Linked DNA regions of Callithrix jacchus. The protein of the gene in region 2 interacts with the protein of the main gene of each other region in a biochemical or structural test. Links are inferred from orthologs where the notes say so. Each region holds a gene or a part of one and is shown on either strand. Other genes may lie near its edges.

The links.
Region 1: the proteins of MSN (region 2) and ICAM3 form a complex in vitro, tested with the Homo sapiens proteins (2 studies listed by BioGRID). The link is inferred for Callithrix jacchus from reciprocal best matches to the Homo sapiens genes MSN and ICAM3.
Region 3: the proteins of MSN (region 2) and SPN form a complex in vitro, tested with the Homo sapiens proteins (2 studies listed by BioGRID). The link is inferred for Callithrix jacchus from reciprocal best matches to the Homo sapiens genes MSN and SPN.
Region 4: of the proteins of MSN (region 2) and LRRK2, one has a biochemical effect on the other in vitro, tested with the Homo sapiens proteins (9 studies listed by IntAct). The link is inferred for Callithrix jacchus from reciprocal best matches to the Homo sapiens genes MSN and LRRK2.

Annotation. Positions count from the first base shown.
Region 1 is NC_133523.1:9,527,438-9,529,935, forward strand, and holds part of ICAM3 (intercellular adhesion molecule 3), read right to left. Parts: intron 281-2,498; coding exon 1-280. UniProt on the Homo sapiens protein: ICAM proteins are ligands for the leukocyte adhesion protein LFA-1 (integrin alpha-L/beta-2). ICAM3 is also a ligand for integrin alpha-D/beta-2. In association with integrin alpha-L/beta-2, contributes to apoptotic neutrophil phagocytosis by macrophages.
Region 2 is NC_133524.1:62,810,831-62,814,400, reverse strand, and holds part of MSN (moesin), read right to left. Parts: intron 3,075-3,570; coding exon 2,991-3,074; intron 2,284-2,990; coding exon 2,137-2,283; intron 655-2,136; coding exon 558-654; intron 1-557. UniProt on the Homo sapiens protein: Ezrin-radixin-moesin (ERM) family protein that connects the actin cytoskeleton to the plasma membrane and thereby regulates the structure and function of specific domains of the cell cortex.
Region 3 is NC_133513.1:29,836,055-29,840,347, forward strand, and holds the start of SPN (leukosialin), read right to left. Parts: upstream 2,813-4,293; 5' UTR 2,701-2,812; coding exon 2,698-2,700; intron 1-2,697. UniProt on the Homo sapiens protein: Predominant cell surface sialoprotein of leukocytes which regulates multiple T-cell functions, including T-cell activation, proliferation, differentiation, trafficking and migration.
Region 4 is NC_133510.1:35,425,089-35,428,658, forward strand, and holds part of LRRK2 (leucine-rich repeat serine/threonine-protein kinase 2), read right to left. Parts: intron 1,894-3,570; coding exon 1,775-1,893; intron 649-1,774; coding exon 579-648; intron 72-578; coding exon 1-71. UniProt on the Homo sapiens protein: Serine/threonine-protein kinase which phosphorylates a broad range of proteins involved in multiple processes such as neuronal plasticity, innate immunity, autophagy, and vesicle trafficking.

The DNA.
Region 1 (2,498 bases), on a different chromosome or scaffold from region 2:
GAGGTGTTCACGAGCAGTCTCAGCCCTTGGAGCTGCAGGTCCAGTTCTGTGCGGCATGAGAAATGGGCTCCGTGGTCACCTCTGCCGGCCAGCACAGTGGCAGTGACCTCTGCGAGCTCCTCCACTGCAGGCTGCCGGCTCAGCTCCTCCTCCCAGCGGAGCAGCACCACCGTGAGGTTGGTCCTGGGCGACCCACCCTCCACTTGGCAGTGCAGGGTAAAGTTCTGACCCACCGGCTGCCAAGGGGGGAGGGGTGCCAGCTCCACCCGCTCCGGGAGCCCTGAGGGAGGAAGGGAAGATGGCACTTAGGGGGTCCTGCAACCCATCCCCCAGGGGTGGGGGTGGAGACAGGGCTGCCCTGCTGAGAACTTTGAGCTTTGAGTTAATAAATTTAAGAGGGCTTAGAACTGGGCCAGTCACGGTGTCTGCTATTATCATTAGTGCGGTGATTACCATTTCCTATGTTGTCAGACACCTTGCCAGGTGCTAAACAAAATTTTCTGTTCTCAAGGATGTCGCAGTTAATTAAAAAACAAAATGAGGAAGGAAGGGATTCAAGTTTATGACTAAGATAAAGTTCCTGTTGATATCTTTCCTTAGACCTTTAAGAGGTCATCCACCTTCATGCACACAACAACCTACTGAAATCTTCTCTACTCTCTTTTTTTTTTTGAGACAGAGTCTCCCTCTGTCGCCAGGCTGGAGTGCAGTGGCGCCATATCAGTCCACTGCAACCTCCACCTCCCAGGTTCAGGTGATTCTCCTGCCTCAGCCTCCCGAGTAGCCGGGACTAAAATCTTGAACCACCATGCCAAGCTAACTTTTGTATTTTTAGTAGAGATGGGGGTTTCAGCATATTAGCAAGGATGGTCTCAATCTCTTGACCTTGTGATCTGCCCTACTCAGCTTGGCAAAGTGCTGGGGTTACAGGGGTGAGCCACAAGGCCCGGTCTTTTTTTTTTTTCGGAATTTCACCGGGTTGCCCAGGCTGGTCTTGAACTCCTGAGTTCAAATGATCCACCCATCTTGGCCTCCCAAAGTACTGGGATTACAGGCATGAGCCACTGTGCCCAGCCCTTTCTCTCTCTTTTTTTTTTTTTGAGACAGAGTCTCTCTCTTATTACCCAGGCTGGAGTACAGTGGCACGATCTCGGCTCACTGCAACCTCCGCCTCCTGGGTTCAAGTGATTCACCCACCTCAGCCTCCCAGGAAGCTGGGGTTATAGGCTCCCACCACCACTCCTGGCTAATTTTGCATTTTTTTTTTTTTTTAGTAGAGTCGGGATTTCGCCGTGTTGGTCAGGCTGGTCTCAAACTCCTGACCTCAGATGATCTGCCTGCCTTAGTTTTCCAAAGTGCTGGGATTACAGGCCTGAACCATCACGCCTGGCCTATTTTTGTATTTTTAGTAGAGATGGGGTTTCACTGTGTTGGCCAGGCTGGTCTCGAACTCCTGGCCTCAAGTCATTCACCCATCTCAGCCTCCTGAAGTGCTGGGATTACAGGCGTGAGCCACTGCACCTGGCTTTTTTCTCTTTTATGGATGGAGAAATATATGGCCCAGAGAGGGAAGGTGAATTGCTTAAGGACACACAATCAGTAAGTGGCAGATCCCAAGCTAGAATGTGGGTCTCCCAAACCACAGACATGCCTCCTGGATGTCATGTTTAGGGACACTGTGGGCCTCTCCCAGCCTCTGGCCTGAACAGCTGGTTTGGCCTCTACCAGAGATTAGTTCAGTTCTCTCCAATCAGATTTGGGCACTCAGGGCTTTCCTGGTTCACCAGCCCTGTGGCAGCCTCTGAGGATACTCTAGCACAGTCACGGGAGACTTGACCCCCAGGCTGAGTGCCCTCCCAGGTACACCTACAAAACCCTGGCCTCAGACCAGACATGATTGCTAATGCTTATAATCCCAGCACTTTCAAAGGCCAAGGTGGGTGGATCACTTGAGGCCAGGAGTTGAAGACCAGCCTTGCCAACATGATGAAACCCCATCTCTACTAAAAATACAAAAACTAGCCAGGCATGGTGGTATGTGCCTGTAATCCCAGCTACTCAGAGGCTGAGGCATGAGAATTGCTTGAACCCGGGAGGCGGCTGCAGTGAGCTGAGATAGTGCCACTGCATTCCAGCCTGGCGACAGAGCCAGACTGTCTCAAAAAAACAAAACAAAAAAACAAGGCTGGGCGAGGTGGCTTATGACTGTAATCCCAGCACTTTGGGAGGCTGAGGTGGGCGGATCACTTGAGCTGAAGAGTTTGAGACCAGGCTGGCCAACATGGCAAAACTACTCACTACTAAAAACACAAAAATTAGCTGGGCGTGGTGGCACATGCCTGTAATCCCAGCTACTCAGGGGGCTAAGGCAGGAGAATCGCTTGAACCTAGGAGGTGGAGGCTGCAGTAGGCTGAGATCATGCCACTGCACTCCAGCCTGGGCGACAAGAGCAAGAGTGTCTCAAAAAAAAAAAAAAAAAAAAAATCAAAAAGTAGGC
Region 2 (3,570 bases):
AGGCCAACAAAAAAGCCCTGTCTTTACTAAAACTACAAAAATCAGCCAGGCATGGTGGCACATGCCTGTAATCCTAGCTACTTGAGAGGCCGAGGTTGCAATGAGTCCAGATCATGCCACCACACCCCAGCCTGGGCGACAGAGCAATAGTCCATCTTAAAAAAAACAATCAAATATGTGAACAGTGTCCACTTTTGGGACTCAGGGGCTTGGAAATATGAGATGCATTCTGTTTCCACCCCAGAACCTCAATGCAGCAGAGACAATAGCTAAGAAGCAGTGCTTAAGACTGCCTGTGGCTCTCCCTCGTCCACAGTGAGGGAAACAGGCAGCAGAGTGGTAACAGGTACAGAATGTCTGCTGGCCATTTCTTGGCTTCAACATCCCCCTCCATTCCCAATCTCTATTCATGTTTCTTGTTCATGCACGTGCACACATGCGTGCGTGCACACACACACACACCCTTCAGAAAAGGAAGACAAAAATAGAATAGCATGATTGTTCATTATGCAGGCCTTGGCAAATACCAGTCTTGATCAGAAAGAGGAATCACTCACCGGGGCTTTTTTGTCAATGGGCTTGATGACAAATTTCTTATCATTGAAAGAGATGTTCCTGATTTCACTCCAGGGGAAGCCTATCTTGGGAGTCAGTCTGTAGAAATGGAAACCAATAACATCAGGACAAGGGCCAGACAAGAAGGACATAGAGTACTGGTGGCTTGCCCTCACTGTCACACCCAAGCCTCTGTGTTTCTATCTCTTTTTTTAAATATATAGAGATGAGGTCTTACTATGTTACCCAGGCTGGTCTTGAACTCTTGGGCTCAAGCAATCCTCCTGCCTCAGTCTCCCAAAGTGCTGGGATTACAGGCATGAGCCATTGAGCCTGGCCAAACAAACACTTCTCTCTGGGGGAGACAGACTCAGTGCCAGCTCAGCCAGTGTCATCACATGCCACCAGGCCAGTTGCCAGCACTGAGAGTTTACTAAAGGATCTCCTGATACAACTAACATATGATTCCTCATCTCAAGTTTGTTTTGTTATGTTTTTGTTTGAGGCACGGAACTTGTAACAGTTCCTCAAGGGAATCCCCAGCTCTATTTAACTGAGTCTCTTCTACCAAGCTTACAAAAGTTAGAGAGAAGGTAAATAATGAACTCCAAGATTCAGGAGTTATATGGAACAATAATCTATTGATCTCCATCCTCACCAAGAGCACATGAAGTGAAAAATATAGGCAAGTGAGATAAGACTACAGTGAGTGGATTATAGGTCAAACACATAATCATCATATGAGACCAATTACATATCCCAATAAAATAAACTAGGCCCGCGTGATCTGATAAAAACATAATGAATGTCTCATATGTAATTTTTTTTTTAGACAGAGTTTTGCTCCTGTTGTCCAGGCTGGAGTGCAATGGCACGATGTCGGCTCACTACAACTTCCGCCTCCTGGGTTCAAACAATTCTCCTGCCTCAGCCTCCTGAGTAACTGGGATTACAGGCAAGTGCCACCACGCTCGGTTAATTTTGTATTTTCAGTAGAGGCAGGGTTTCTCCATGTTGGTCAGGCTGGTCTCAAACTCCCGATCTCAGGTGATCTACCCTCCTCAGCCTCCCAAAGTGCTGGGATTACAGGTATGAGCCACCACACCCAGCCACATATATAATTTTAAGTTTTCTAGTAGCCATATGAAAATAAGTAAAAAGAAATAGATGTAATAAAATTATAGTAAGTTTAAATAACCTAATATATCTAAAATATTATCATTTGAACATGTAAATAAATATTTTTTAAAATATTGAGACATTTCACATTCTGTTTTTTACACTAAATCTTCAAAGTCCAGTGTGTAGTTTACACTTACAGCACATCTCAATTCAAAGTAGCCACACTTCAAGTGTTGAATAGCCCCCATGTGGCTGGTGACTATTATAGTTGACAGTGTGAGTCTAGTCAAGACAGGATTTAGAGGCCTAAGGGAAGTTGTGAAATCATCTGGGCTGGACTAAATTAGGTAGACAAAAGAACTGAGGTGAGACCCAAGAGGTATGGCCATGCTCCTTGGTGAAAGGTGAAACCTAGATGTAAAAGTGACCTAAACAAACTAAAAGAGATCTGAGATATACCTGTCATTCTGCTCATAGATGTTGAGACCCAGGGCATCCACCCCCAGCCACAGCTCTGAGCCTTTCTTGTTCTTGATGCTGAAATAGTTCACACCATACATCTCCAGATCTTGAGCAATCTTCAGATATTCCAGGACAGCATCCTCCCTAAATGACACAGAGTTGCGGGTCAAAAACGAAGCCTGGGAGTCAGACCCAGAGAGAGAAAGCCTGCTTGCGCTGTACTTCTGACAAGGATTTTGCTGTTAGGAGTGGGAAAGTGGATAAAAAGCAAGTAGATGATAGAGAACAGAGCACAACATGAGTTTTGCAAAGCAAAATCTCCTAGCAAAAACCTAGGGTCTATGCTCCCAAAGGGAATAAAGATGGACTGACCCTTGCTGGCCTCTGGCATGTTGGCTGCCATAGGAGCAATTTTCCTTCTCTCATTCATTATGACAGCCTCTTATACAGGTACATTTTTAGCAGGGCTCAGAGTGTAGTGATGGCAAAATGATATTTGTTCTGCAACTAGACAACCCTCAAAAATGCTTTGTCATGTTTAAGAGCTCCTTCCTCATTTCCTTCTGGTGAGGAGCGGGGTAGTCCTTGGTGGCCCAGCAGCTTCCTGGACATCCTGAGGTCCCCTCCATTTCTTGATAGTCAAAACTGTTTGGGCTACCAGTTACTACCATTCGACAAAACAAGCAAACAAAAAACAGCCCTGTAATGGTCCTAGTTTGACTTCTATTGTCCCTGTTTCCTCTTTCTCCCACATCCACCAATGTCCCTTGTCATCCGTCTCTTCTTCTCAGAATGCATTATCATTCTCCCTGTAAGGGAAGTGAGGCCCACCACTGCTGGGGCAAGCTTACCTGAGCATGCCGCGGTGTTCCTCATGCCACACCTGGATCCGCTCCTCCCACTGGTCCTTGTTGAGTTTGTGCTGTTCCAGGACTCTGGAAAGACAATAAGTGATGAGTAGTTAAAAACACAAAGCCCCTGTGCAGGAGAGAAGGGAAGCCCATTTAGCTTTCTACAGGTTTGATGCAAAGAGGATGCAGAGTCAACCAATTGAGATCACACTGGAAGTGGACTGAAATTATAGCAAGAATGTATAAAACTAGACATAAAGAATTGCCTGAAAGGTAAGAGAGCTACAACACTGGATGATCAAAAACAAAAGGAACATCTTCCTTTGTACCTTTATCCACAAAATTAAATGATGTGCTGTAGTCCCTAAGCATAGCAGTAATGTATCAGAAGTTTGTGCTGACTTTAGAGGCTAACAGTAGGGATGGACCTCATGGAGCCAGGTACACTCTCTCCTAGATCCTCTTGGGACAAACAGCTTATGTTTATAACAATAGTGCTCAGAGATGAAAGGATGGCCTTTGGCTACAGAGCAAAGAATTGAGTCTTGATGGCTTTGAGAAAAACCAACAGGTCCAACCT
Region 3 (4,293 bases), on a different chromosome or scaffold from region 2:
AGCAAAAATAAATAATAAATAAATAAAAAGCAGGAGTTGCAATTCTTGTATCGGATAAAATAGATTTTAAAGCAACAAAGATATAGTGGTAAAAGGATCAATGCAACAACAAGAGCTAACGATCCTAACACCCAGATAGGAGACTTAGATTCAATGAGACAGAAAATTAATAAGGATATCCAAGACTCGAACTCAGATCCAGAACAAGTAAACTTAATAAATATTTATAGAGCTCTCCACTTCAAATACACAAAATATACATTCTTGTCAATACCACATCACACCTACCCATAAGTTTAAATGAAACATTGATTGGCCATTATTAATACCCAATTTTTTTCAAAATAAAGCAATATTTCCATTTACTCTCCCTCTTTCTCTTCCTCTTTCTTCCTCTCCTTTACTTATTTTTTTTTCTTTCCTTCTCTCAAAAAAAAAAAAAAAAAGAAAACAGACAGAAATGGGCCAGGCACTGTGGCTCATGCCTGTAATCCCAGCACTTTGGGAGGCCGATGTGGGTGTTCACCTGAGGTCAGGAGTTCAAGACCAGCCTGACCAACATGGCGAAACTCCATCTCTACTAAAAATACAAAAATTATCTGGGCATGTGACGGGTGCCTGTAATCCCAGCTACTTGGGAGGCTGAGGCAGGAAAATTTATTGAACCCAGGAGGCAGAGGTTGCAGTGAGCCAAGATCAAACCACGGCACTCCAGCCTGGGTGACAAGAGTGAAACTCTATCCCAAAAAAAAAAAAAAAGGCAACACTTAGAAGACTTTGATTGCCACGGTCACAGACTGATTCTCGCCGTCTTCCAGGTACAGCACCAAAGGGTCTCAGTGTTTGGCCCCAGTGGCTCCCCAGAGCAAGGCTATTTTACCAGTGAGGAAGCCAAGGTGTAGAGAAGCTAAGCCAGCTGCCCAACGCATTTTGAATGAGCCAGCCTCAGGACCAAGCACTTTCCATTCACAGCGCATCTATTCCTCTGGACAGCACTGTGAAACACGTACCACTACCCTTATTTTGCAGGTGAAGAAACTGAGAACTGAATCTGAAAAATAAAACGATTGAGAGATTTGGCCAGACTCATACAACCAGTAAGTGCTAGAGTTGAGATGCTAAGCCAAGTCCGTCTAAGGGCCAAAGGCCAAGGCTAAAGACCTCTTAGGTTGGCCGGACACAGTGGCTCACGCCTGTAATACCCCAGCACTTTGGGAGTCCGAGACAGGCGGATCATTTGAGGTCAGATGTTCGAGACCAGCCTGGCCAACATGGTAAAACCCGGTCTCTACTAAAAATTCAAAACTTAGCTGAGTGGGGTGGCACACAACTGTAATCCCAGCTACTCAGGAGGCTGAGCCACGAGAATCATTTGTACCCGGGAGGTGGAGGCTGCAGTGAGCCAAGATCCTGCCACTGCACTCCAGCCTGGACAACAGAGCGAGACCCTGTCCCAAAAATAAATAGATAGACAGATAGGTAGATAGGTAGATAGCGATGCTGGGTATAGCAGTTCACACCTATAATCCTAGCATTTTGAGAGGCCAAGGCAGGTAGATTGCTTGAGCTCAGGAGTTTGAAACCAGCTTGAGCAACATAGCAAAACTCTCTCTCTAGTTTTTAAAAATTAAAATTAAACACTTAAAATAAAAAGCTAGAGACTCCTCTCCTTCTCTTATGCCCCATATCCAATCTATCTGCAAATTCTGCTATTTCTACCTTCAAAATGGACTCAGCCATCTGACATCCAGATCTTGGTTTCTAAATACCACTTGGCCGGGCGCGGCGGCTCACACCTGTAATCCCAAAACTTTGGGAGGCTGAGGCAGGTGGATCACTTGAGGTCAGGAATTTGAGACCAGCCTGACCAACATAGTGAAACCCCGTCTCTACTTTTAAAATACAAAAATTAGCCGAGTATGGTGGCAGGCACCTATAATCCCAGCTACTTGGGAGGCTGAGGCAGAAGAATCCCTTGAACTTAGAAGGTAGAGGTTGCAGTGAGCCGAGATCACACCATTGCACTCCAGCCTGGGTAACAGAGCAAGAGTCTGTCTCGATAAATAAATAAATAAATAAGTATCACTGCCCTTGAAGGAACAAGGGTTCCTTGGGAAGTGGCTGATTCCACAGCTAGGCCAGGGAAAGTAAGAAATGAGCCTGGAAATTCTTTTTTTTTTTTTTTTGAGAGGCAGGGTCTCACTCTGTCTCCAAGACTGGAGTGCAGTGGCACAATCTCGGCTCACTGCAACCTCCTCCTCCTGGTTTCCAGCGATTCTCCTGCCTCAGTCTCTTAAGCAGCCAGGATTACAGGCACGTGCCACCACACCAGGCTAATTTTTTGTATTTTTAATTGAGACAGAGTTTCACCATGTTGGCCAGACTGGTCTCGAACTCCTGAGCTCAAGTGATCCATCCTCCCTGACCTCCCAAAGTGCTGGGATTACAGGCGTGAGCCACCATGCCCGGCCTAATTTTAAAATTTTTTATACAGATGAGGTCTTGCTTTGTTGCCCAGGCTGATTTCAAACTCCTAGGCTCAAGTGAACCTCCTACCTCGGCCTCCCAAAGTGCTGGGATTACAGGTGTGAGCCAGAGAGCCCAGCTGGCCACCCTATTTAAATCGCACCCCCTCCCTCTGGACTGTAACCCCTCTCCTTGCTTTCTCTCCATGGCACTTCTCGTCTTCTAACTCACCATTGTAATGGACCTTCTTATTTTGCTTCTGTTGCTCTCCCCACGCTGGAATGCCAGCCCCTTGCCCTCATGGCTATGCGTGTGTGCTTCCACAGGGCTCCAGCACCCAGGAAGTGCTTGGTACACAGTAGGCACTGGCTGATGTTTACTGACTGCAGACTTCTCTGGTTAAGAGAAGGAAGAGGGTGTCAGGCTGCAGAACGGTGGACAAAGGCAAGGAGGCCAAAGGGTGGAGAACAGAGAGGGGTGTGGTGAGGCCAGGGACAGGGAGGCTGGGTGTGCCTGGAGCTGATGTGAAGGCCCTGCCCACCCAGCCTTGAGGTCATCAGCGGTCACCAGAGGTTTGCTGCTTCTCCTGAGATAATAGTTCTGCCCACCACAGGCCCAGTTCCCCCTACAGGTCTCTTTTTTTTTTTTTTTTTTTTTTTTTTTTTTTTGAGATGGAATCTCTGTTGCCCAGGCTGCAGTTCAGTTTCTCGATCTTGGCTCACTGCAACCTCCACCTCTGGGGTTCTCAAGCAATTATCCTGCCTCAGCCTCCTGAGTAGCTAGAATTACAGGTGCCCACCATCATGCCCGGCTAATTTCTGTATTTTTAGTAGAGGCGGGGTTTCTCCATGTTGGTCAGGCTGGTCTTGAACTCCTGACCTCCGGTGATCCACTCACCCCAGCCTCCCCAAGTGCTGGGATTATAGGCGTGAGCCACGGTGTCCAGCTCCCTGCAGGTCTTTGAGGGGCTGTTCCTATTCCAAGGTAGACAGGGGCCAGCAGAAGCCTGGGGGCAGGGAGGCCACAGAAGCAGGATGGGGGGTGCAGGGATACCTGAGTTTGACTCCCGCCTGCGTCGCCTGCCATCTAGATGGCCCTGGGTCAGGCATTTAATCTCTCTGTTTTAGTTTCTTCATTTGTGAAATAGGAATAATAATAGTATTCTTCAAAGTTCCTGGGAGGGTTAAGTTAGACAGTGTGAGGGGCCCACAGTCAAAGCCTGATAAGGACTATAAGGACTACCTGATAAGAGAGAGGCCCCAGTGCAGTGGCTCAGGCCTGTCATCTATAAAAAATTTAAAAATTAGGGCTGGGTGCGGTGGCTCAAGCCTGTAATCCCAGCACTTTGGGAGGCCGAGGCGGGTGGATCGTGAGGTCAAGAGATCGAGACCATCCTGGTCAACATGGTGAAACCCTGTCTCTACTAAAAATACAAAAAATTAGCTGGGCATGGTGGCGCCTGCCTGTAATCCCAGCTACTCAGGAGGCTGAGGCAGGAGAATTGCCTGAACCCAGGAGGCGGAGGTTGCGGTGAGCCGAGATCATGCCATTGCACTCCAGCCTGGGTAACAAGCAAAACTCCGTCTCAAAAAAAAAAAAAAAAAAAAAAAATTAAAAATTTGCCAGGCCAGTGTGGTGGCTCATGCCTGTAATCCCAGCATTTTGGGAGGCCAAATACAGGAGGAATACCTGAGGTCAGGAGTTTGAGACCAGCCTGGCCAACATAGTGAAACCCCATCTCTACTAATTAAAAAAAAAAAACTAGCTGGGCCTGGTGGCTCCTGCCTGTAGTCTCAGCTACTCGAGAGACTGAGGTAGGAGAGTCGC
Region 4 (3,570 bases), on a different chromosome or scaffold from region 2:
ATATTCTCTCTCAGACGCCAGAGAAGAAATACTTTCTGAATGCCTCATATGGGATTGAACTTTTGATGACCCTTTTGTCAAAAACAAACAATGGAAATATAAACAAATCATTTAAATTCATGTGGTAAAAGTTTACTGAGCACCTCCTAGTAATCAAGCTTTCTTCAAGGCATTGAAGATTCAGTAGAAAACCAAACTATGTAGTTTGCATTCCAGTGGCAGAGATGAACAGTAAATAAACAACATTTCATCAGGTGGTGTAAGTGGCGTTAAAAAAAAAAGAAAGAAAGAAAACTGGAGAAGAGGATGAAGAGTGGCATTGGTGGAGGTATTATCTACATTTCAGAAAATTTGCAAAAAATGTATTAAAGTGTTATATAATATTCAGGAAAGGTAAATTTTTAAATATATATTTCATTTTTCTACAGCTTATGGAAGAAATCATTAGGTAAATACATATTTAGATTATGTAAGATGAAACTGTCACCAAAAGTATTTGAATAATTGGAGGAAATGCAACAAAACATTGCATTCTGCCCAAAATATCTATGTACTTATGATTACATCCAAATACTTACTGAGTGAATCATCTGAAGATAATATTTTCCTTTTTCTCCTCAGTAAATCTTCATGATCAAAAATGGGTCCCTGTTAAAAAATAATGATGTATTGCTGTCATTTGTTGGAGAAGAGGACATTTTTATAAGGAAAGAAACACAAAATTTTAATGGGCTTAAATGGTATTTATAATAAGGAAAAAAAATAGGCAAATAAAAACTAAGAACCCAATTATGAAGATAAAAGAAAACAATCCAGTTCAGTGCTCAAATGACCTTAGAAAGACCTACTCTTTCTCCTTTGTTTTAAATATAAGGAAACTGAAAAACAGAGTGGTTGAGTCAAAAAGCTATATACATATAATTTCTCTCATTAATCAAACTACTTTTTATAACTAAGCTGTTTACATAAATTTGAAAGAGCATACATAAAGACTGAGAGCAAAGTTAACCTATTCAACTATAGTCATTCATTTCACCCATCTTAAAATCTAGAATTAACATAAAACAACCCTCATATGTACTCAGCTATAATCAAAATTAGAGCATAGGTTAGAATAGATCTTCCAAAGTGAACCTGAAAATAAGATGGCTCCCAATTTTTTCAACTAGAGTTATCAAACTCCTCATGCAAATATGGCATAGTCCTGCCATAGTTCAAAAATAGACAGTAGGTTGAAATAATAACTGTGTCTAAAAAATTAAATGACTTTCAATACACTAATATATATATATATTTTTTTTTAATGAACAATGAATGATACTATGCTACTCCATCTTGTTCAGTGTCCTTCAGACTTCTGTCTGGTTTCTTAAAAATCACCATAAGATTTCTAGCTAAAGTATTCATGGGACCAACCCACATCATTAGGTACAGGTCTAGCTTGGGCTCTTTTCAGACATGGAGCTTTGAAAAGAAGGAAGAAAATCATCTTGAATTGTACTGTCAGTACATATATGTCCCAAACAAAGTCATACCCTACATACTCAAAAGACTACAAATGTGAATTTAGCATCATTTACAACTTATATGTTTTCATGTGTGCGTGTGTGTGTGTGTGTGTGTGTGTGTGTCTGTGTGTGTGTATAAAACATTTCAAAATTACAGTTTTCATGCATCAGGGAAATCCCTACCAATTGTTCCTAGCTTTGACATAAATCCTAGTTATCAAGAGAATGTCACCAGCAAAACACAACATAATCACAATTTAACTTACCAAAGAATTGGAATGCCTTTGCAAATTTGGTGAACAACGCTGCAATGCAAGATCTTGGTAAAATTCTCCTACACTAATTGAATTTGATTTCTTTTTCACAAGGAATGAGCCTTCACTTCCTATTTTAAAATGATAAAATAACATGAAGGTGAGTACGAAACGTTTACTCGATCATAAGATCCTAGTATCATAGTTCAATCATGGAAGATTAAACCTATTTTTATTAATGGAAATTTCACAGTCCATTTCCTCTGTAAAATCCTTAAAATAGAGATTGATAAGCCATGTTGGTTTTCACTTTAAAAAAATTCAACAACATTTTTCTTCGCCCATAAATATTTATGGAATGGCTGTTACAGACTAGACACTGGTTAAGCACTGAATAATAATATGCAGGAAAAAAATGAATCCATTTCTGAGAGACACTCATAGTCCAGAAGAAAAGAGCCAAATCAATCAGTGGTTACACATGCTATACCAAATACATGTGTGTACAGAGAGCAGAGAAACTTTGTATGCCATCTGATCAATGTGACAACTTTCTGTTTTTCTGAATTTTTTTATACAGACAATTGCAATGAGGTCCTGCAGACTGGGAAAGAGAGTGGGTGAACTACCTGAATTTTTCTTATGAATTTTTCAAATCTTGCTTCAAATGTTATAATCACACAAATTATTTAAGTCAGCAATTTTGAATATATTCCTATTTGAATATCATATTTCATGGTTTCTTTTATGGAATGATATTAAAATAAACACAATGAATTTGGCTGGCAATAATTATTTTATGAAATAAGGAAAAGGCAGAACTTTCAAAATAATATATTTTCCAGAAAAAAATCAATAAATAAATCATATTAAAGATAAACAATGTGAATGCATTTGTGAAAAATTATTTATGGTTTTTAATTCACCTACTCTTTATCTTAGAAAAACAAAGAATTCATTTTATGTCAAAACAAAATTATAAAATCTACGTATCCAAAAATCACCTTTATGATATTTAGTATAAATCCTGATATAAACAGTTCCTGCCTGATTCATTACAAATTTAATTAGTTCTATAATTTAAATTGTTTTAATGCTTAAGAATTTTAATACAATAGAATTTATAATAACAATTACATAATTATAAAGATCATTCAATTATAATTATCCTACTTTATATGTTTGTGAAATGTCTATTAGCACATTATCTGTACAAGCAGCATAGTGCATTTTATACTTATTTTATGTTAAAATTTCTAATGCTTTCTTTAAAAATACTTGAAGAGAGTTCTTTCAGGCATGATGGAGTAACAAGTGTGAACTTAACCTACTGCCATAAACAACAAGAAAACTGGACAAGTATATTAAATGACTGAATGCAGATACTGGTCAACAGACAGCATAGGACTATGTAATACTGGAAAGAAGGGAAACAAATTATGTGAGTCCTATATCACTCTGGCCTTCTGCTTGGAGATAATTTAAGGGCCATATACATAAGAAGAAATTTAAACAGCCTCATGGCTTTCCTGAGATGAGGACATAGAGATCAACATTTATGGAGACAGATAGCTGGGAGTTCTGGGGTAGTTACAGAAAACGAGCTCCAATTATCTGCATATGGGTTTCTGGAAGATCTGCACAAGAAACGTAAAGGGAATCCTACCAGAAGAAGAAAATGATACTAACTTGCAAACTTAGATTAATATAAAATGGTTACCTCATTAAAAAATGTTTTAAATATACTTCTTAATGTTCATATACCCAACAACAGAGCTTCAAAACATACAAAGCATAAACTGATAAAA